Linked DNA regions of Elephas maximus indicus. The protein of the gene in region 3 purifies or fractionates together with the protein of the main gene of each other region. This does not show direct contact. Links are inferred from orthologs where the notes say so. Each region holds a gene or a part of one and is shown on either strand. Other genes may lie near its edges.

What was found.
Region 1: the proteins of CHAF1A (region 3) and ASF1B purify together in Homo sapiens (co-immunoprecipitation; 7 studies listed by BioGRID and IntAct, counting the BioPlex papers as one, with this or other methods). This does not show direct contact. The link is inferred for Elephas maximus indicus from reciprocal best matches to the Homo sapiens genes CHAF1A and ASF1B.
Region 2: the proteins of CHAF1A (region 3) and SETDB1 purify together in Homo sapiens (affinity purification with western blotting; 3 studies listed by BioGRID and IntAct, with this or other methods). This does not show direct contact. The link is inferred for Elephas maximus indicus from reciprocal best matches to the Homo sapiens genes CHAF1A and SETDB1.

Annotation. Positions count from the first base shown.
Region 1 is NC_064821.1:32,773,346-32,780,375, forward strand, and holds the start of ASF1B (histone chaperone ASF1B), read right to left. Parts: upstream 3,019-7,030; 5' UTR 2,838-3,018; coding exon 2,729-2,837; intron 1-2,728. UniProt on the Homo sapiens protein: Histone chaperone that facilitates histone deposition and histone exchange and removal during nucleosome assembly and disassembly. Cooperates with chromatin assembly factor 1 (CAF-1) to promote replication-dependent chromatin assembly.
Region 2 is NC_064821.1:184,996,130-185,004,028, reverse strand, and holds the start of SETDB1 (histone-lysine N-methyltransferase SETDB1), read right to left. Parts: upstream 3,020-7,899; 5' UTR 2,933-3,019; intron 2,927-2,932; exon of another isoform or gene 2,823-2,926; intron 2,566-2,822; exon of another isoform or gene 2,467-2,565; intron 1,457-2,466; 5' UTR 1,446-1,456; coding exon 1,186-1,445; intron 291-1,185; coding exon 139-290; intron 1-138. UniProt on the Homo sapiens protein: Histone methyltransferase that specifically trimethylates 'Lys-9' of histone H3. H3 'Lys-9' trimethylation represents a specific tag for epigenetic transcriptional repression by recruiting HP1 (CBX1, CBX3 and/or CBX5) proteins to methylated histones.
Region 3 is NC_064821.1:7,418,571-7,425,904, reverse strand, and holds the start of CHAF1A (chromatin assembly factor 1 subunit A), read right to left. Parts: upstream 3,045-7,334; 5' UTR 3,034-3,044; coding exon 2,757-3,033; intron 1-2,756. Other genes in the region: SH3GL1 (endophilin-A2), read left to right, coding at 7,032-7,076. UniProt on the Homo sapiens protein: Acts as a component of the histone chaperone complex chromatin assembly factor 1 (CAF-1), which assembles histone octamers onto DNA during replication and repair.

The DNA.
Region 1 (7,030 bases), about 25 Mb from region 3:
TCTCCAGGACCAGAGAGACTTTTAAGGCAGCCCCACTCCATCTGTTTGGAAGGCAGGAAACGGATTCTGCTTTGTGGGAAGAAGGCCAGGAAGAGGCAGAAAGCAAGCTGGCATGTCAGAGTCACCAACAGCCATAGGAGGTAGAACCATAGAGTCTGGATTCCCAGGCCAGGGTTTGATTCCCAACTTGAGTTTCTCTGAGCAAAAGCTCTACTATCTGGCATAATTAAGAATAGCGCCCCTTTTACTCTCTTTTGAATGTCCTGATTTGGCAATAAATTGTATGGTCCCTCCTATTTATAAGCAGCCCTGGTGGCACAGTAGCTAAGAGCTCAGCTGCTAACCAAAAGGTCTATGGTTGGAAACCACCAGCTTGCTCCACGGGAGGAAGAAGGGGCAGTCTACTTCGGTTAAAGATTTACAGCCTTGAAAACTCTGTGGGACAGTCTTACTCTGTCCTATAGGGTAGCTTTGAGTTGGAATCAACTCCACAGCAATGGGTTTTTTTGGTTTCCTATTTAAACTCCGCCTCTAAAGTAGGAAATGCTTTCTTTCTTTCGCCTACTAGGATAAGAGCAAAGACAATGAAACCAGACTCAGACCTCAGCAACAAGTTTTCATCCCAACATTTCTATAAACTGGCTGTGTGACCTTGGAGAAGTCACTCCACTTCCCTCTATTAAAAAGGAAAACACTGCAGGCTAACTTTAACCTTTCCTGTCCCAATACTATAAACAAATTACTAAAGTCACCGGGCACGGACTTCCAGGAATAATAGTACTAAATAATGGCCATGCAACCATTTTTAATTCAAGAAGTACAAACAGGCTGATTGCAACCTGATCTCCTGCCATCTGGGAACTGTGAATCCCTTAACCTATTAGCTCCTTACATCTCTTCCTGGCTTTAAAATTAAATCTTATTCCACAGTGTCATTCTACACTTTATTTATTTATTTACACCCAGACTTGTTCTAGCAAGGATTTAACTTGGCTTACTCTATACTTAGTCACAAATGGACTCCTTAATTTAAAAAAAGAGTGTGAGACACAGGGGGAGAGTGACCACTGGCTCACCTGTAGGCCACACATCCTTCAAACTGTATCAGCCGCAAGCAATCCAAGCAGCAGGCTCTGTGAGCAAACCACACATCTGCCACTGAGAGGCGCTAGTTAGCGCGCCAGCCTCACCTCAGTTGCTGCCCCTTCTCCTTTAATGGCCAAGTGGAGAGGTGGTCTAGCTGATTACTTCCTCCTGAAAGCAGGACTTGCCTGTCAGCTGTGCCAAAGCTCCCTGGGTGACCTTAGCCATTTAGTTTTAGATTTTTATAGACCTCTTCTTGAAAGGTCTTTTACTCTTTGTGGTGCCTGCTTTCTCATCTGAGATGAGAGCCATGTCTACCTCCTTTATGTCACACAGACTTGTAAGTACATTCATGAAAGCACCTTGGAAAAGATGCACAAAAGGTTGTGACCTCCTAGCTGATTATTTGAAGCCAGATGCTGTCTCAGCTCAGCCTGTCCCACCCACTCCTCAGACTAGGTCAAACCATCAAACGCATTGGAAGAATTGCTGCAGTAAGTCAGCTGGAACCTGGTGGGCAAACCCTGGGAACTGGCTCACACTTGCCTGGCTACACCACCCCTCAGATTGGCAGGTGTTTATCCAAGCTGATTAGCAGAGAGGAGGGAGAAACAGGAACTTGGGAGGACCAAGTTACCCTCCAAGTCTAGAGGGAGAAGCCAGGCCATCCCTCCCTAGATGGAGCTCAAGTGTAGGGGATCAGACTGAGGAGGAGAAAAGCCAAGTTCTAGAGTGTATGCTTTGGGGTGGAGAGCAAGCAGAAGTTGGGAGGCAAGGTGGGAAAGATGTTTAAATATAAGCAAGTTGGGGAGGGGATTGTTAGGGGAGATGGAGTAAGATCATGTGACAGGAAAGTCTTAACAGGGAAAAAGGAAGGTGACTTTAGGGGGAGGTCTCCACAGGGAAAAAGAAGGGGTGTTTGGAGGAGAGGTCTCCACAGAAAAAATGACAGGTGGCTGAGGTCTCTACAGGATAAAAATGAGTTGGGAGTGTCTGGCCACAGGGGAGTGGGGATGAGTGGCAGCCTCATCCCATTGGGTGGCTGGAAGGGGGGGTCTGGCCTTCCAGAAACGGAGGGTCACTTGGAATGCGTCTTGCCATAGGGAAGAATGGAGGCTGAGAAGGTCCCTACTTAAACGGGTAGCTGGGAGGAGCTCTACCAAAAAAAAAAAAAAAAAAAGGGATGATGTTTCCACAGGAAAGTGGGAGAGTGGGGTTGGCCATGGAAGGAGGGGTCTCCACGGGGTGGTCAGGGTTGGCTGTGTGTGGGGAGTCTCAGGGGCAGGTCAGGATTGGCACTGGGGGGGTCACGGGGGAGGTTAGGGTTGGCACTGGGGGGCCTCAGGGGGAGATTAGGTTTGACACTAGGGGGTTTCCATGGGGAGGTAGAGGTTGACGGGATGGGAGGGTGTTTTCACAGGGAGGTCCGAGTTGGCCACCGGAAGTCAGGGTTGGTTGTGTCAGGAGGATCTCGGGGAGATTAGGGTTGGCATTGGGGTGGTCTCCATGGGGAGGTCGAGGTTGATGGGGGCTGAGAGGTGTCTCCACGAGGAGGTCGGGGTTGACCGTGGGAATGTCTCGAGGGTAAGTCGGGGTTGGCCGTGGGGGGAGGGGGGGAGGTGTCTCCACACAGGCCCAGCCTCACCGTCCGCCAAGGCCTCATTGCACTCGAAGCTGATCTCGAACCGGAAGGGGCTGTGGAAAGGGGTCGGGTTCTCCAGCACCGCCACGTTCAGCACCGATACTTTGGCCATCGCCTCGCCGGGCCGGGGCTGGTACCAGGGCTGAGGCCGGGCCGGGGCCAACCTAGGGCCTGCGTCCGGTGGGTTAGGAGGCAGGGTTCCAAGAGCCGCTCCCGACTCCTCTCTACGCGGACTGAAATGCGCACCTCGTCCGCGCGCCGCCTTCAAATAGCCACCCCACCCCCCGGCCAATCACCGCCAACGCTCCCCGGCGGCGCGAGCCCGTCTTCAGCCAATCCTGGAGCGCCGGCGGGCGCGCGCCGAGACTCCCGGACCAATCAGGGGTGCTCCCTCCCCGGTGAGCGCGAGAGGGACGGGAACGTCTCCATGCTTCTTTGGGCCCCCATCCCCACCTGGGAGCCAATCCCCAGTGTCTCCGACTCGGATGCAGAGGGCGAGAGTGGGCGGAGAAAGAGCAGGGCCTCCTCCTGGCCAATCCCAAGGGTTCCCGCACCAGCGTGGCGCGCGCTTCGCCCCGCCCTTCCGGGGCACGCATCCCACGGGGCAGCGCCGCCAACGGCCGAACGGGGGCGCGCGGCGCACGCTGAAGAGGGCGGGAAGGGCGGTGCTTGCGTCAGCGGTGATTGGCGGGCGGGAGTGGGTGGGAATAAAGCAGGTTTAGTGATAGGCGATTGGCTGAGTTGACCGCGGGGGCTGGAGGAGAGCTAGCACAACTGGGATTCGCGGAATGGGTGGGGGGAGTCGGGCGCCTGCGCGACTGCGTCGAGTCTGAAGAGAAAAGAGCGTTTGCGGCCTCGGCGTCTGTCAGCGGGTGAGCGTTACCGGGAGCGTCACTCAGGAGTTCCTGGCTACTCAGGTCAGGCGGCCAGGGAGTCCGTTATGAACGTTGTGAACGTTGGGCTCAGCCGTGGGGAGACGGAGTGGCAGTAACGCGCTACGCTTGGCCTGGCTTCAGGACTGGGGCCTGGTTCGAATCCCACTGTCGGCATCTCGAGGGCCGCTGGGAGGTTTCAAGTAGATAATACCCCTCAAGCGCGAAGCGTCTGATAGACGTGGGTTCGAGTCCGAGCTCTGCCACTCCCATTTCCTCGTCCATTAAACGGGCTGTGAAAATTCACTGACATGACTCGTGACTCCACAATACTTGCAGAAACTTCACCTCCATCCGTGGTCTGGACCACCGACGCCTCCTGCCTGGAGCACCCAAGAACTTCTGCAACCACTCTGTCTCGGCGACCAGTATTGTCCAGTGGAAAAGTAACGCAAGCCACATACCTAATTTTACATTTTCTAGTATCCACATTAAAAAAATAGAAAAAAAGTGAAATTAATTTTAATAACGTGTCAAGTCTAATCCCATATAGCCAAAATATTACTGCCACATATGATTATAAAAATACGAAGGAGATAACTTACGTATTTTTACTCAGTACTAAGGCTTTGACAGCCTGTGTGTGTTTCACAGGTACAGCACATCTGTAACTGGGACCCTAAATTTTCATCGGAAATAGTTATTCTGCCTTTAGGTTTCATACAGTTTACAGTTGGAGAAGTAGATTCGTGTGTCGAAGTTGTTCCAAACATGCGTAAAAGTTTTCCATTAGCTGAATTGTATTTCGGAGTTTTAATTTTTAAATTAAATAAAATTGAAAGTTCAGTTTGCAGTTGAATTTGCCACCTGTGGAAAAAGACTCCTGTACTATTGGATAGTGCAAACCTAAAACAGTTGGATCAGGTCACGCCCCTGCTTGAAACGGGAGTGGTTTTCTACAGTTCTGGACTGAGAACATTGTTATCAAGACCCTACATGCTTTGTTTCCTATTACCTACTCATCTCCAGCTTCAGTCCAGCCAAACAGACCCCTTTTTTGTTGCTTAAAAAACTGATAGCTCAGAGCCCCTGCCTGGAACCTCTTTTCCCAACTCTTGGCCCAGCTAGTGCCTTTTCACTCAGGCTTCTTGCTTCAAATGCGCTTTCCTCAGAGAAGCCTTTCCAATGGTCCCCTGGACAGTGTTCAAACTTACTCCTTTGGTATTCTGGGCCATCTAGGATGGGATGTAAGCCTCTGCTACTCTATAAACCTTAACAGCACTGATCTAAGCCTCCAGCATCTCTTACCTGGCCACCTCTGGGTTCTCCTCAGAATCTTAAGGCTTCATGGTGTGAGGCATATATATTTTTTTTTTTTTTTGGTATATACATTAAGAAAAAAAATTTTTTTCCATTAAAAAAAATGGGAAGTTATTTTTTTCTTTTGATATTACTTGCCTGCAAGAAAATTGACATTTATAATTGGCTTGATCTGGCAAATGCTGGGCATACTTGGGAATTTCTGTGACTTGAGAAGAATCTAATTTCCAAATGATTTCCAAGTGTGATTGATTTTTTGCAAATACTAAATTATCAATGCATGAAGTTGCTATGATGTTAAGTTTTCTAAATAAACATTTAGTTAAACATTTATTGATTTCAACTTTGCAGTTTTGTTTTTTCTCTGTGGAAGTTTTTCCCCCTTTATCCCCACCCCATTGTTTTCATAGCTCCTGAAAAGCTCAGCGGCCACAAGCATTTTCTGTCTGTGGTGCTAGTAGAGAAAATGGTCCTGTCTGTGACGAGTTCTCCATACAGCCGTCCGAGTGATCTTCAAATATAAATCAGATCATGTCATTCCCCTGCTTAAACTCTTCAAAGGCTCATCATACCTAGGATGAATCCTAAAGTCTTCACTATGGCTTAGGAAGGTTGCCGAAGTTCCTTAGGAGGCCCTGCATGGTGGCCTTAGCTGACCTCTGGGACCTAATCTACCACTTCCCTTTTTGCCACCATTCTCAAGCCATGCTGGCTTTATTGCTGTTCTTTTAATTCACCAAGCTTATTCCTGCCTCAGGGCTTTGCACTTGCTGTTTCCTCTGCCTGGAATGTGCTGCCCCCAGATAATTGCGTGACTGTCTCATTCCCATCATTTATGTTTCAGCTCAAATGTCTTTCTTCGAGGAACCTTTCCAGACCACCCTATTGACAGTAGCACTTCCTTAATCATATCAACCTGTTTTATTATCTTAGTAGCACTTATCAGAACCTACAACTGTGTTGGTTTTAAAATTGTGCTTATTTGTCATCTCAGTGGGTTTAAAGCTATTTGAGGGAGTTTTGAGGGCAAGGATCTCACCTGGCTTTCTCAAGGTTATATTTCCAGAACTTAGCACAGGGCCTGGCATGTGGAAAGTCTTCAGTAGATCTTTTAAAAAGAATAATACCACTTAAAGGGCTTAGCATAGCACCTGGAATGTGAAAAGCAATCAACATGAGCTGTTAGTAGTACGTACCTGCTGCCGTAGAGTCAGTTCTAACTCATGGCGACCCTATAGCACAGAGTAGAACTGCCCCATAGGGTTTCCTAGGCTTTAATCTTTACGGAAGCAGCCTGCCACATCTTTCTCCCGAGGAGTGGCTGGTGGGTTCGAGCTGGTGACCTTTTGTTTAGCAGCCAAATGCTTAACCACTACTCAGTAAAAAAAAAAAAAAGGCCTGTATTATATTCTTATGTAATATTTCAGTTGTATGCACACAGACACAAAAAGTTTAAGAAATACTATAACAAAACACCCTTTTACCCACTATCCAGCCCAAGAATTAGAGCCCTGGTGCTGCAGTGGTTAAGAGCTTGGCTGCTAACCAAAATTTGGTCAGCAGTTTGAATCCACCAGCTGCTCCTTGGAAACCCTATGAGGCATTTCTGCTCTGTCCTATAGGGTCGCTATGAGTCAGAATCAACTCGACAGCAATGGGTTTGGTTTTTTGGTATATACTCCTGCCTGATATCCATTCCTTTCTCTTTTTCTCAAATGTAACAGCACTACTGAATTTGGTGTTTTTTTTTGTGTGTGTGAATGTTCTTACATCTTCATATTCATGTGTCTTTAAGCAATATATAGTATTGTTTTTCATATTTTACAATTTTATATCAATGGTGTATGTGCAAAAAGAGAACATAGCAGGCCTGAGACTGCTATCTTTAGAAACGCCTGCTTACAAGGTTGGCCCTTGGCTGGCATCTGGGATTTTGGATTTCAGGAAGGTTCCCATCATCCCCTAAATGATAGTAATAGCTCCTTGTGTCTAACCTGTGCTTTATGCTGAATATCAGATTTCCATCTGGGAGGGTCTGGAATTTCAGTACCTGCAGGCAGGATGTGCCTACGTGACCAGCCCCCGATAAAAACCCTGGGCCCTGAGTTGGTAG
Region 2 (7,899 bases), about 180 Mb from region 3:
ACAAAGAGGGGACATCTATGATACTAATAGGTCAGGCAGTTCAAAATATCAAGTTGGTGACTCTGGTTTCCCCTTTCTTATCTTCCATCTGCTCATCTTCCAGTTCGAGACTTTTCTATCCAAAGCCTTATCCCTTACCTGAATCAATACTGAGTACATCATCATCTTCATCAGGAATCTCGATTATTTCTGTAGGCCGAGAAGCTTCATCCTCAGAGCTACTTTCCCGGTATTGTAGTCCCAGCTTGGAGTAGAAGTCCTTCACCAAAGACTCACAATTAGTCACTGCCCTAATTGGAACACATGTGGAAAAGAAGGTCAAAACCAGCAGATGAAGTAGGTGTCAAAAAAAAAAAAAACCAAAACCAAACCCACTGCTGTTCAGTCGATTCCGACTCATAGCGATCCTATAGGACAGAATAGAACTACCCCATAAAGTTTCCAAAGAGCGGCTGGCAGATTCGAACTGCCGACCTTTTGGTTAGCAACCATAGCACTTAACTACTACGCCACCAGAGTTTCCGAAGTAGGTGAAGGAACCATTAAAATTTATATATAAGTGTAGACTGTCCTCAATTTAAACCATACGCTATATAATTGTAAATTCTGCTGTTTAGAATTTAACATGCTTTTCCCATAGAAAAATGTTTTAAATGGTGGTCTGGTTTCCAGACTAGTTCCTCAAATATCCAAAATAAGCCCAGAGCATAGTCCTTTCAACCGTACCTCATTAATTAGCTTATTGTTATTTGAAAATGTGTTTTAGGTAACAACTAGGGCACCATAAACAAATCTTCTGGGGGTTTAGGAGCAGATATAGGGTTTTTCAAGTTTATTAATGCTCTACAACTACATAAGACAGCAAGTAACTCTTTACGATTTTGATTCCCTAAATGATTTTATTAGGGAAACAAAGTAGGATTATGAAGTAGAATGGGGAAAGAGAAAAGGGACTCAAGACATGGACTCCCCTACTGCTGATCACATGTGAAGCTCTGATAAATGGGTAGTCTATGTATGGTGGTTGTGAAGTCTGATTCTGAACCATAAACTATGAGGAAGAATAGGGTCCTACACATTTGTACTTTATAAAGTACAAAGTGCTTTGCACGATGTCGTGACCAATTATACATTAAAAATGCCTGCAATGAAGAGATTTCCTTTTAGTTTCTGTATAGTCCTCACCTGGATGCATCATCAAAGAGCTGATCAACATGGGCCACCTCAGATTCCTTCTGTATTACCCAGGTCTCCAATTCTGCTAGCTGCTTCTTGCGCTGCTGTACGCAGTCCATCTTTTCCAGTTCTTCATCAATGAACTGCCGAAGTTCCTCCATAGAGATGCCTAGCTCCTCAACCACAGCCTGCTGCAGCTCTGCAATCTCTTCAGACTCCACTGCAGCAGTTGCTGCCTCCAAACCGACGCACTCAGGAATGGAGGACATGCTGATGTCCTCTGAATAGAACAGAATTACCCTTGGGGTCATTGTAACTACAATCAGTAGGAAATTTCACTCCCCTAATAAAACTCATTCCTACTCTGTTACCTGCTATTTAAATTTGATTCTATGTTCTCTTTCCCCATTCTCCAGAATTTGATGCTGAGATTTCGTAGAGTTCTCAGCCTATGCTATACACTAACAGGCCTGAATAAGATTTCAGATTGAAAAGCGTGGAAAACACAGTCCCATAGGCTACATAGGCATCTTACCTTACAATTCACATATGACATAATAATGCTTATTTTCTAGCGTCTGTAAAAAATTCTATTCTGTACGTGCATTTCACGTCAGTGTGTTACCAGAAGTTAGGAACTGGTTACATTTATGTTGTTCTTTTTTACAAGGCTTCTAACATAATTTTGCAAGCTGGTTGTTATAGGATACTTGAAACAGAACTTGAAAATTCAGTTGGGGGACATTCCAGGTGGGGGAAAACTATGAGAGTATTTCAAGAACTTTGGATGTTTTGGGTAAAACACAGGTAGTGGTGAGATAAACTGAAAAGCTAAATTGGAGCCAAATTAGAATGCCTTGCAAGGCTTAAGAAGTTTTACCTGATTCTTATGCAGTGGAGAACCAATGAAAATGTTTTAGCAAACTGAAGAGAATCAATCTACATAGGAAAATAATTTCTGTGAGCCAATTGGTTTCTTAATCGACTAATGAGATAGATCTATGCCTACATCTTATCCCTAATTTGAACAAATATCCCCACCTGGGGAGGGGGCTTTGCTCTGTAACGCACTTTGCGGTGTTTTCTCTTTTAACTACTTGTCTCCCTTATATTACTTCGCTTCGGTGTGAAAATTTACTTTCTAAATGTGATCGCTGTCTGTAACGCCACAAAAAAAGTCTTAAGCACACAAAAGCTTGCAGCAAAAAGAGGTACCCCTAAAGTAAAAGGAAGTAAATTAATTTGGGAATAAAATGTGGCTATCTTAAGTTCACAATCCAAAAAACTCACATTGGCGTTAAACTGTTTTTCCGATCAAACGGTAGAAACAAGACTGATGTCAGATAAGCCGTGCGACCTCAACGCCAGTTCCCAGTGCCTCCATTTTTTTACCACACCCGTCCGACCCTCCCTCCCCCAAGCTACCCAATTTAGAGGGGGCGTCCCATCCACCCATAGGCCCATCTCGACCCCGCCCCCGGTCGCCTCTCGGGGAAAACTTCCTTCCTACTTTCGCCCAACCTCCTTCTACAAACAAAACATTCCAGACAAGCCTTTGGTCCCTAGATACCTCAACTAACAGTATTCCCTACCTCCCCGCTCCCAGCTGCAAAAGCTCTTTTTCACCAACCAGACCCCAGACTCACCACTCTCAGGTCGGCCTGGACGGGAAGAGGAAAGAACGAAAACGAAGGGAATGAAGAACAGGGGAGGGGGAGGAAACGTGAGGGAGGAAAGGGGACGCCCGGAAGCAAACCTTAGGCGCCGTTCCGGTCACCGCGACGGTAGCCTAATGGGGTCAAATTCAAAGCCGCGGGGCGCCCCTAAGAGGCTGAGACTGACTTAGGCGACTACGCATGCGTCAAGGCAGAGCCTTTCGGAGCACACGTGAGAATCCGTGGCCGGATAAAGTAGGCGTGGCCAGGAGTGTATTAAAGAAGCCCCGCCTCTTCTACCACCCTTCACTCCCACCACCCTCCACTGGTGCCAGTGATTCTACGGTTATTGTGTAAAGACTCAGTAGACAAACAATCTTAGGTTTCGGTATTATTTGTTACTTTTACTTGATTTTATTACGTAAATCATACAAATCAAAGGATATCCAGATGTAATAAGAAAAACGTGATAATCATTTCCCCTCCCCTTATTTACTACCTCTGCTCCTTTGATATAAGACAACTTTTTTCTCTAGGCTTATACATGAACTTTCATGCATATGGATTTTTTGTTTTCATTTAATGTGTGGCTATTGCTTGAAGTCAATGAAAGAGATAAAACTTGTCTTTTTGACAACTGCATAATACCCATTTCCATCAAACGGACTCATAGCAACCCCATAGGGTTTCCAAGGCTGTCTACGCGGAAGCCAACTGCCACTTCTTTCTCTCACAGAACCGCTGGTGGCTTCAAACGGCGGAGCTGTCGCTTAGTCGATTGCCTTAACCTGTACGCCACCAGAGCTTCTATTTCTGTGGGATAAATTCCCCAAAACCGTTATCTCTGAGTGAAAAGATTTGCACATTTTTCATTTTAAAGGAATCTTTTGTCAAATTACTTTTCAAAAGGTTGTAACAATTTATACTTCTACTAACAAATTTTTGAAAGTACCTGTTTCCCCCCACTCTCATTAGAACTGAATGTTAACTCTCTACTTAATTTTTTTTAATTGTGCTTTACAAATCAAGTGAGTCTCTCATACAAAAACATACACACGTTGCTGTGTACTCCTAGCTGTTCTCCCGCTAATGAGACAGTGCACTCTTCCTCTCCACCCTGTATTCCCAGTGTCCATTCAACCAGCTCCTGTGCCCCTCTGCCTTCTCACCTCCCCTCCAGACAAGAGCTGCCCACTTAGCCTCATGTGTCTACTTGAGCCAAGAAGCTCACTCCTCACCAGTATCATTTTCTGGCTTACAGTCCAGTCCAATCCCAGTCTGAAGCGTTGGCTTCAGGAATGGTTCCAGTCTTGGGCTAACAAAAGGTCTGGGGACCATGGCCTCTGGGGTCCCTCTAGTCTCAGTCAGACCGTTAACTCAGGTCTTTTTATGAGAAATTGAAGTCTGTATCCCACTTTTCTTCTGCTCCAGCATGGATTCTCTGTTGTGTTCCCTGTCAGGGCAGTTATCTGTCATAGCTGGGCACCATCTAGTTCTTCTGATCTCAGGCTGATGGAGTCTCTGGTTTATGTGGCCCTTTTTATCTCTTGGGTTCTTATTTACCTTGCATCTTTGGTATTCTTTATTCTCCTTTGCTCCAGGTGGGTTGAGACCCATTGATGCATCTTACATGGCTGCTTGCCAGCATTTAAGACCCCAGACGCCACTTACCAAAGTGGGATGCAGAGTGTTTTCTTAATACATTTTGTTCTGCCACCTGACCTAGATGTCCTCTGAAACCATGGTTCCCAGATCCCTGTCCCTGCTACTCTGGCCTTTGAAGTGTTCTGTTGTATTCAGGAAACTTCTTTGCTTTCGGTTTAGTTCAGTTGTGCTGACCTCTCCTGTGTGTTGTCTTTTCCTTCACCTAAAATAGGTCTTGTCTGCTATCTAATTTGTCTACTTAATTTTTAAGAACTTGATGTGTGTAAAATAATATTTGTATCAGGATAGGCTAGGTTATATTGTGGAACTCAGCTCATGGTAGCCACTCAGGGACCCAGGCTGATGTGTAGCTAAGCCAAAGAGAGAGAGTTACCAACGGCCTCACATGGCAATTAAAGTAACTTAGATCACTTTCATTTACAACTCATTGGCTCCAACTAGTCATAAGGCCCCACCCAGTCACAAGAGACAATGAATGCAATGCCATTCCTCTTCAAGTTGCCATTCCTGGTATAGTAGATCATATGATTGTCTGATTCAAAATGGCCAATACCAGTTCATTTCAGCTCACTAATGCCTAGGATATCGATGTTTATGTGTTCCATTTCATTTTTGATGTTTTCCAGTTTTCCTAGATTCATAATTCGTACATTCCATCTTCAAATTATTAATAGATGTTTGCAGCTGTTCTTCTCATTTTGAGTCATGCCACATTAGCAAATGAAGGTCCCAAAAGCTTGACTCCATCTACATCATCAGGATCCACTCTACTTTGAGGATGCAGCTCTTCCCAAATTGTCTTTTGAGTGCTTTCCAACCTGGAGGGTTCGTCTTCCAGCACTATATCAGACAATATTCTGCTGCTATTCATGAGGTTTTCATTGGCTAATTGTTTTCAGAGGTAGACCACTGGGTCCTTTTTCCTAGTCTGTCCTAGTCTGGAAGTTCAGCTGAATCCTGTCCACCATGGGTGACCCTGCTGGTATTTGAATACTGGTGGCATAGCTTCCAGCATCACAGCAACATGCAAGCCCCCACAGGACGACAAACTGGGAATTCCAGAACACTTAGTTTTGCTTATAAGGAACCTGTGGACAGATCAAGAGGCAGTCGTTCGAACAGAACACGGTGATACTGTGTGGTTTAAAGTCAGGAAAGTTGTGCGTCAGGGTCGTATCTTTTCACCATACCTATTCAATCTGTATGCTGAGCAAATAATCTGGAGAAAGATGCATTAACAACCTGTGTTATGCAGATGACACAACCTTGCTTGCTAAAAGTGAAGAGGACTTGAAGCACTTACTGATGAAGATGGAAGACCCCAGCCTTCAGCATGGATTATGCCTCAACATTAAGAAAACAAAACCACCTACAACTTGACCAATAAGCAACATCATGATAAACAAAGAAAATGCTGAAGTTGTCAAGGACTTCATTTTACTTGGATCCACAATCAACATTCAACATTCATGGAATCACAATCAACATTCATGGAAGCAGCAGTCAAGAAATCAAAAGACGCATTATTGCACTGGAAAAATCTGCTGCAAAAGACCTCTTTAGAGTGTTGAAAAGCAAAGATGTCACACTGAAGACTAAGGTGCGCCTGAGTTAAGCCATGGTGTTTTCAATTGCCCCAAATGCATGCGAAAGCTGAACAATGAATAAGGAAGAGCAAAGAAGAACTGACGCCTTTGAATTGTGGTGTTGGTGAAGAATGCTGAATATACCATGGCCTGGGAAAAGAATGACCAAATCTATCTCGGAAGAAGTACAACCAGAATTCTCCTTAGAAGCAAGGATGGCGAGGCTACATCTCATGTACTTTGGACATGTTACCAGGAGGGATAAGTCCCTGGAGAAGGACATCATGCTTGGTAAAGTAGGGGGCCAGGGAAAAACAGAAAGACCCTCAACAAGGTGGACTGACACAGCAGCTGCAACAATGGGCTCAAGCATAACAATGATTGTGAAGATGGCGCAGGTCCAGGCAGTGTTTTGTTCTGTGGGTCGCTACAGGTCGGAAGTGACTCAACAGTACCTAAGAACAACAACAACCACAAGAGTGCCAGGAAGGGCAGGCCTACGTAATTGCTGGAATGTGAGAGGACTGGGTATAGCTGATAAAGTGTGTTACAATGTAGAACATTTTCTTTATAAATTGTTATGCCAATTGAGCTAGATGTCCCCTGAGATCATGGTCTCTAGCCCTCAGCCCAGTAATTTGCTCCCTCTGGGAGTTTGGATGTGTCTGTGAAGCTCCTATGACCTCACCTTGATCAAGTTGTGCTGACTTTCCCAGTATTGTGTACTGTCTTACTCTTCGCCAAAGTTATCACTTACCTGTTGTCTAGTTAGTGTTTTTCCCTTCCCACCCCTACCCTCCCTCGTAACCATCAAAGATTGTTTCTTTCTATGTGTAAACCTTTTCATAGATTTTTATAGTAGTGGTCTCATACAGTATTTGTCCTTTTGTGATTGACTTATTTCGCTCAGCATATGCCTTCCAGATTCCTCCGTGTTGTGAGATGTTTCAGAATCATCATTGTTCTTTATTGTTGCATAGTATTCCATTGTGTGTATGTACCATAGTTTGTTTATCCATTCATCTGTTGATGAACACTTAGGTTGTTTCCATCTTTTTGCTATTGTAAATAATGCTGCAGTGAATATGGGTGTGCACATGTCTCTTCATTTGATGGTTCTTATTTCTCTAGGGTATATTCCTAAAAGTGGGATTGCTGGATTGTATAGTATTTCTATGTCTAGTTTTTTAAGGAAGTGCAATATTATTTTCCAAAATGGTAGTACCATTTGGCATTCCCACCAGAAGTGCATAAGAGTTCCAATCTCCCCACAGCCTCTCCAACATTAGTTATTTTCTGGTTTGTGCCAGTAGTGTCCGGGTGAGATGGTATCTTGTTCTAGTTTTGATTTGCATAAGGTCTGAGAATTTATGTATCGTTTTTCCAGGTGATGCGTATGCTACTGGTCCTGGGACTAGAGTTTAAGAATCATTGTCTTAAATTGCCCCTCACCCCTTACAGAATTAACTCCTGCCCTGTGCTTCTATCGCCTTGGTTTATTCCGCGTGTGAGTTATCTGTGTACATCTTTGCTTCCTCTGCTGGCTTGTGATCAACTAAAAGCTGAGATACTGTCTTAATCATCTTTGTCCCCCCAGCACCTGATATACTATCCCCACACATGTGGTGCTCTGTAATGTATGATGAGAGAAGGGAAGTCTTTGCTTTGGTCTGGTTGAAATTTATCTCCATTAGTTAGATTCTTTCAGTTTTCCAGAGTGTATTGTGCAGGGTGAGGGGAGGGAATGGAGAATGTTGGAGAGCAACAGAAGCTATTTGGAGAATCACATTCCAGTCTGATTTCTTCATTACCCTGAG
Region 3 (7,334 bases):
GGAGACCAGGGATGCTGCTCAATACCTACAGTACACAGGACGGCCCCACCCAAGAGAACGATCCCGCCGAAAATTGGCAGCGTCAAGGTGGAGAAACCCTGCCCTAGACACTATCATATCTTCCTCTGTCTTCCTGCGGTACTGAACCGTTTGCGTTCATGATGTCTCCCACCACAAGAATGTCATAGCCATGACATTGAGAAGGCTTGATCCACACTGTACCTATAGCACCTGGCTCAGGGACTGGCATAGTAGGAAGTCAACGAATAGAGTAACAGGCATAGAGAAAAGTGGAGTGGGTGAAAGTGGAGATAAAATACTGTATTAACAATTTTACTGTTAACGTGATGTCGCCATCAGTCAGAATCTACTCAACTGCAACCGAAAACAAACGACCCTAAAACATCCTCCTCTCACTCCCTACAAACCCGTAAAATTAGATTGGGTTCACTTTCTTTTTAGTTTAGAGCACTTTGAGCGTATGAGGTAGAAGCTAAAATGTTGCCAAGAAATAATTTGAAAGAACAATTTCCTGTATCAAAAAAGTTCTCAAGAAAAGCAACTAATAATATCAAAACTGATGCAGAAATGACCATGAATAGAACCAAGCTTTTGGGTAAGTAACTTTAAATAGTTAGAGTAAGTTTAGAAGCTCACACCTGGTAGAAGACCTGGCTAGGAAAAATCTAGTTATTTTGGCCAATCTACATACATTTTGTAAAAGATACATAATAGTGAATATTTTTTAAAGGGAGACTACTGGGGCTTTCTAAAAAAACTCAGCTGTCCACAGATGAAACTCCTTCCCCCTGCCCCTGCAAAGCGTGGAGAGTAAGAGAAGGTACCAGAAGGTTCACACTTCCTATCTGCCCATTTCAAGGGAATGAAGGCATTACCATCTTCATGTTCTCAGTTACAAAAAAAACATGGACTTTTTTTTCCCCTCTCAAGTGAAGGACACGCAATCTTTAGCCACTTAAATTTATTTTCAGGACAACCACAGGATTTATTTGCATGGCCCTGAGTCACCAGCTTTGATGCAAACGGAGCAGAGAGACCTGGGCCCAAAAGCAACCTGAGGTTGACAACAAGAGGGACCCATCCAGGGATCCAGGGAGCTCCAAGGCACACACACAGTCAACATACACTGGTGTATAAAGCTGTCAGCTGTTCTTTATTCTGAGATTACATCCTTCCTAATTTTATTTGGTGTTAAAGCATCCTTTTCTGATGCTATGGTCACAGAAGGTGGTGGTATTTTTTCTTTTTTAACACCCTCAATTGGTGAAATAAAATGACCACAGCTCCATAACTACTTTATATTAATTTTACATCTCTGTGAACTCCCCAGAGTCTGGAAACTTCTAGAACGGGGGTGGGTGGGTGGGAATAATGCAGTCCAGGGTACACTTGACAACATCTGGAGGCATTTGTGGTTGTCGCAACTTGGGGGGGATGCTACTGGCACTGAGTGGGTGCAGGCCAGGGATGCTACTCAAAACCCTAGAATGCACAGGACAGCCCCCTACGACAAAAAGTTATCTGACCCAAAATATAAATATGGGCCTGGTCTAAGGAAATAGGGGAAGGGAGGGGTGATTCTGTGCCCCAGGAGACACTGATGATGTTGTCTGGAGACACTTGTGGTTGTCACAACTTAAGGGGGTGCTACTGGTATTGAATTGGTGGAGGCTGGGGATGCTGTTCAAATGTCAGGGTCCAGGTGGAGAAACCCTGTGCTATATATACAGTTAAATTTCACCAATATTAACCAAGCACTTTTTGTCACTAACATCTAGTTCAGGGGTTCTCACCCAGGGTGATTCTGCCCTCAGAGGACTCTTGGCAATGCCCGGGGACGTGTGGTCGTCACAACGGGGAGCTGCTATATCATGGAGTGGGTGAAGGCCAGGAATGCTGCTCAACACCCCACAGTGCACAGCGCATCCCCACCCCAGAGAATGATCCGGCCCTCATATCAGCAGTGCCGAGGTTGAGAAGCCCTGGACTAGACTAGTTGGCGTCCCTCCCATCCCTTAATTCATTCAACCAACACAAATTTATCGGGCGCCTACTATGTGCCAAGCATTGTGCCAGGTGCTGGGACCCAATGGGGAGTTGAGCGGTGGGAGAGGCGGGCAGTCTGGTCTTCCGTGGTTCACCCCACGTTTTGGGGGGCCCGCTGTGTGCCAGACAGAAAGACCCTTCGACAAATACGGGGTGGGGGGAGAAGGCAGCTCATCATTTTGCATAGCAGGCAAGATCAGCACCGCGGGGATCTCAGCTCTCTGACACTCCCCACCACCCTGCCCTCTTACCTGGACTTGCCCTGACCCGCAGACGTGTGGTCTCGGGCCTCAGTTTCCCCACCCGACCAGAAGGTCGCTGCAAGGCTCAGGGGCCCCATAAGCACTCGGTAACTTCCAAAAGCCGGCCTTTTTGCCTCCCTGGGCCTCAGTTTCCCCACTTGGACCGGTCACCCCCCCAGAGCCCTGGAAAGACGAACTGACGCAAAAGCGCCGGAAAAACATGGTCGCGGCCGCAACAATAACGTCAAGCAGGGCGCCCTGCGGGTCACAAGGCCCTTGGTCGGGATTATAACGGCCGGCCCCACGGGCTGAGCGCCCGGCGCGGAGGAGCAGGCCCGGAGCCCGGAGGCCCGGAGCCCCCAGCCGCCGCCTCGGCCCTCACAGGCCGCGCGCCGCGCCCCCCCCTTCCCCCGGGCCCGGACCCGGACCCGGACCCGGTCCGACCACCTGCGGCGGCTCCCCTGGCGCCCGGCGCCCCGCACTCCGGCTCCTCCAGCATCGCTCCGGCGGCGGCTCGATCCCTCCTCAGGCGGGGGAGGCGGCGGAGGCGCGGGCTCCCCTCAGGCGGCCGCTGCTGCTCGCCCTCCCGCCCGCGCCGCTGCTGCCGCGGCCGCCGCGCTCGTATTTGGCGGGAACCGCGGCGACCCCCGCAGAACGCGCGCCGATTGGGCGAGGGCGCGTCACGTGATAGCCCGTCTCGGGAAGAGGGGAGCGCCGGGAACATCCTCGCGAGAGCCGTTGCCTCCATTCCTCCCATGGCTCGTCTATTGATATTCCCGCGGGCGGGGGAACTTTCTCTCGGCAGCCTGTCATTGGCTGAGAGAACATGCCCTGCGATTGGCGAAGGAAGGTGTCAAGCTTAGAGATAAGCACTGTGATTGGCTGAAGTGCGTGGGATAAGTCGGCAGGGGGGAGGGAGGGCCAGGCTTAACGTCATGACGCGAACGTGTCACGTAAGACGCCGGGTGACAGCTTGAAAAACTGCGGTTTAGAAGACGATCTGAAGTTTTGAGTTTAATACCCAACAGCAATTAATATTACAAATTACTTGTTAATGAGCAATAAAATAAAAACTGGGCAGCGCTTCAGAGGGCTTTGACATGTAGTAAATATATTCGGAGCGAATGAAATGCAAGTTTCGGGTTAAATTCTCGGGACATGCTGTTTTCTCTGCCTAAAACCCTCTTTCCGCAGCTCTTTCTAATTTGTACCTAACCTTCAGATCTCAGGTAACACCTCAGAGAAGACTTTCCCTCTCCACCCCCAACCAGATCAGGCATCTACAACACTTTTTTTTTTTTTTAAGCACTTAGAGATTCTAAGTGTCTACTAAAAAAAAAAAATTTTTATTTAATTTTCCAATTTAGGATTTCCAAGGCTATAAATCTTTACAGAAGCAGACTGCCAAATATTTCTCCCACCTTTCAGTTAGCAGCCTAAGAGCTTAACCACCGCTACCCCAGGACTTCTACATACATAGTAGGTGCTCAATAAATATCTGATTGAATAAATATCATTTGATTGACCTGTGGAGATCACGCAGGTTAAAAGCCTCACACAGAGGAGACGCTCAGTAGAGATCCTCAGTGTCAACCTGCAATTCTTAGAAATAGGTTTGCTTCAGCACTCATTTAATGTTTGAGAGAAACAGGGGTGAGGAAAGATGGGAAATTTAGCCTGAGTTTGGAAGTTTATTGCAGTAGATTGGATAATTAAATCGGTAGAACTTGTTGAGAGAGGAGCATTGAGAAATAGGAAATTGGGGAATATCATTTCAGTCAGGTCATGTCACATGACTCAGGTTTCTCCATCTGGATCATGAGGATGTTTTCCGTCCCGTCTCTAACATTCTGGCATTCTGTGATGATTTAGACCAGTGGGTCACAGCTGAGGGTGTATGTCAGAATCACATGGGAGGTTTCTCAAACTATTCATAACAGCACCACCTAGTGCATAAGGATCTTGGGAGTGAAGCCAGTACTGAAAAAACTCCTGGAGATTCTGAAGCAACCTTCTGACTAATCTAGTCCAGCATCTCTATTGAGCCATTTGGAAACTTCTAACAACCTTCCGCATTCAGAAAATCACCTAAATCTAGGAGATTTCGGCATAGAAGTTCCAAGTACTTTGTCCCTAATCACATTCTTGCTATTCTTTCCAATTCATCTCTAATCCTTTCGATAAACTCTCATTGTGTACTCTCTGTGTGTCAGGTCCCCTCCAGATGCTGGAAAAAAATTCATTAATTTATTCAACAAATATTGATTGTCATCAGGCAAGGTGCTACTACAATGCTGAATAAAACCTTTGTCCCATGCCTCCAGGAGATAGGCCCATCAGCAGGCTCTTCCGCCATTTGATGATACATGTCATGGTAGTGCCGGGTTTCTCCACCTCAGGACTGTTTACATTGGGGGGCAGATCATGCTTGGGGAGGGGGCCTATGGATTGCAGGATGTTGAGCAGCATCCCTGGGTTCTACCCACTAAATGCCAATAGCACACCCCCCCTCCCGAGTTGTAACTACCAAAAATGTCTCTAGACACTGCCAAGCGTCTCCTGGGAGGGTAGCGAATCACGTCTGGTTGAGAATCACGGTGGTAAATTGTCTTAGTTATCTAGTGCTGCTATAACAAAAATACCACAAGCAGATGGCTTTAACAAAGAGAAATTTATTCTCTCAAGTCTGAATTCAGGGTGCCAGCTCCAGGGGAAGGTTTTCTTTCTCTGTTGACTCTGGGGGAAAGTCTTTGTAATCAATCTTCCCCTGTTTTAGGAGCTTCTCATTGCAGAGAGCCGGGCCCAAAAGGACATGTCCCCCTCCTGTTGATTGGTGGTAGGAGGTCCCTCCCCTCTCTGCTCCATTCTCTCTTTTATAGCTCAAAAGGGATTGACTCAAAATACAACCTAATCCTATAGATTGATTACTGCCTCATTAACAGAATTACCTCTAATCCTGCCTCATTAACATTATAGAGGTTACGATTTACAGCACATAGGATAATAACATCAAATCACGAAATGGTGGACAGTCACACAATACTGGGAATCATGGCCTAGTCAAGTTGACACACATTTTTTTGGGACACAATACAGTCCATAACATAAGGGTATAAACATAAGGCAGTTAGCAAAGCTACCCTGTATTTACCGCATTATAACATGTCTTCAATTGAGGTATTTGGAAATGCCTAGCAATCTTCTTCCTTCAGGAAAGCACTCACACCTTTCAGAGATTTAAGCATAGAAATCACAAGCCCTTTAGCTCTAATCACTTTCTTGGGTCTCTTTCTGATTCATTTGGTCGTTCCCATTCATTATTCATGTCCAATTCATTCAACAAAAATTTTACCAACAACAATTGATAAAAACAATATCAACAAACATGTGTCAGATCTGGGAAGGGGTCCTGGAGGAGGTGCCATGCCAAGCTGCGTCCTCTTTTATGCACAAAAATCCGCTACCATTGAGTCACTTTCAATCATAGTAACCCTATAGGACAGGGTAGAACTGCCCCATAAAGTTTCCAGGGAGTCCCTGATGGATTTGAACTGCTGACCTCCTGGTTAGCAACCGTCACACTTACCACTACACCACCAAGGTTTCCTTTTATGCACAAAGGACGGGGGAAAGACTGGTGAAGAATATGCAAAAGAAAAACAATCTTAGCAAAGGCCCATAGGCATCTGGGATCATTGATTATGGAACAGGAAGAGAGTTGAGGTCAGAAAGGTTGGTGAGGCCAGATTATTCAAGTTTTGCAGATGGAGTAAGAAGTTTGGAATATATCTTGAGGGCAGTAGGTGGATTTTAAACGGGGGAATGATGCGATCTAAATTGTGTTATAGAAGCATCTTTATGGCTGCCTTGTGGGGAATGATTTTAAGGTGGGGACACCAGCAAGGAGGCTGGTGGAATGGTCTGGGCCAGGGCAAGAAGGGCAGTGGGGATGGTGGAAAGGAGGTAGACGCTAAACACAGATGTCTGACTTAGGCAAATGAATGGATGAACACAGAGCAGGGTGGGGGGAGGGGCTAAACACACAGAGGAATTGGGAATAGCCGAGGTTGTTGTTGCACGCTATGGTCAATTTCAACTCCTAGTGACGGCATGTGACAGAGTAGAACTACCCCACAGGGTTTTCTAGGCTGTAATCTTTAGGAAGAAAATCGCCAGGCCTTTCTTCCGCGGAGCTGCTGGGTGGGTTCAAACTGCCAACCTTTCCAGTTAACAGCCTAGACTTTGACCGTTACACCACCAGGGATTAACTTCTCAAACACCCCCTCTCCCCACTTCCAAGGTTTCAGTGCCTATCCTAGGAATTGAGGGACACCTCCGGGACTGCAGGGGAAGCTGCAGCTGCGACGTCCCCTCTAGGCTCGCACTGGGCCACTCGCTGGTGTGGGCGGCCTCTTCCCAAGGCTGCCCAAACGCGCGTGCGCTCCCCGGCCGACAGGGGGCGAGCGTGCGCAGAAGAGGCCGGGGGGAGCGGGGGCCGGCGCCGGAAGTGTGCGGTTGCCATGTAATATCCTGGCCGCGCGGGCGCGCGAGGGCTGAGGCGGCGCAGCGGCAGGCGCGGAGCTGGAGAGAAAGCGGCTGAGGCGGCGCCGGAGGGGCCGCTGAGGCGCGCGGGGGTCGGTGGCGCCCGGGAACTTGTCGATTAGGCGGTCGGTCCGTCCAGGTCGCTCTGTCCGGGCGGGAGGCCCGACGGCGGGAGGCAGCATGTCGGTAGCGGGGCTGAAGAAGCAGTTCTACAAGGCGAGCCAGGTGAGCGGGGACCGAGCGGGGACCGAGCGCGGAGCGACAGGCTGCCGGGAGTCCGGGGCCCAGCCCAGGCTCGGGAGGGGGCCGAGGTGGCGGCCTTGGCACGTGTCCCCCGCAGGGTGGGGGCGCCCCGGAGGAGCGGGGGGCTGCGAGGGGGCGCAGGCCCTGCCCGCCATGGGGGCTCCAGTGTCCTCGAGAAGGGTGAGCAGAGACGGAGCAGAGCTGCACCCACAGTTGCCCAGGGACGGGCACCTCTCCCCT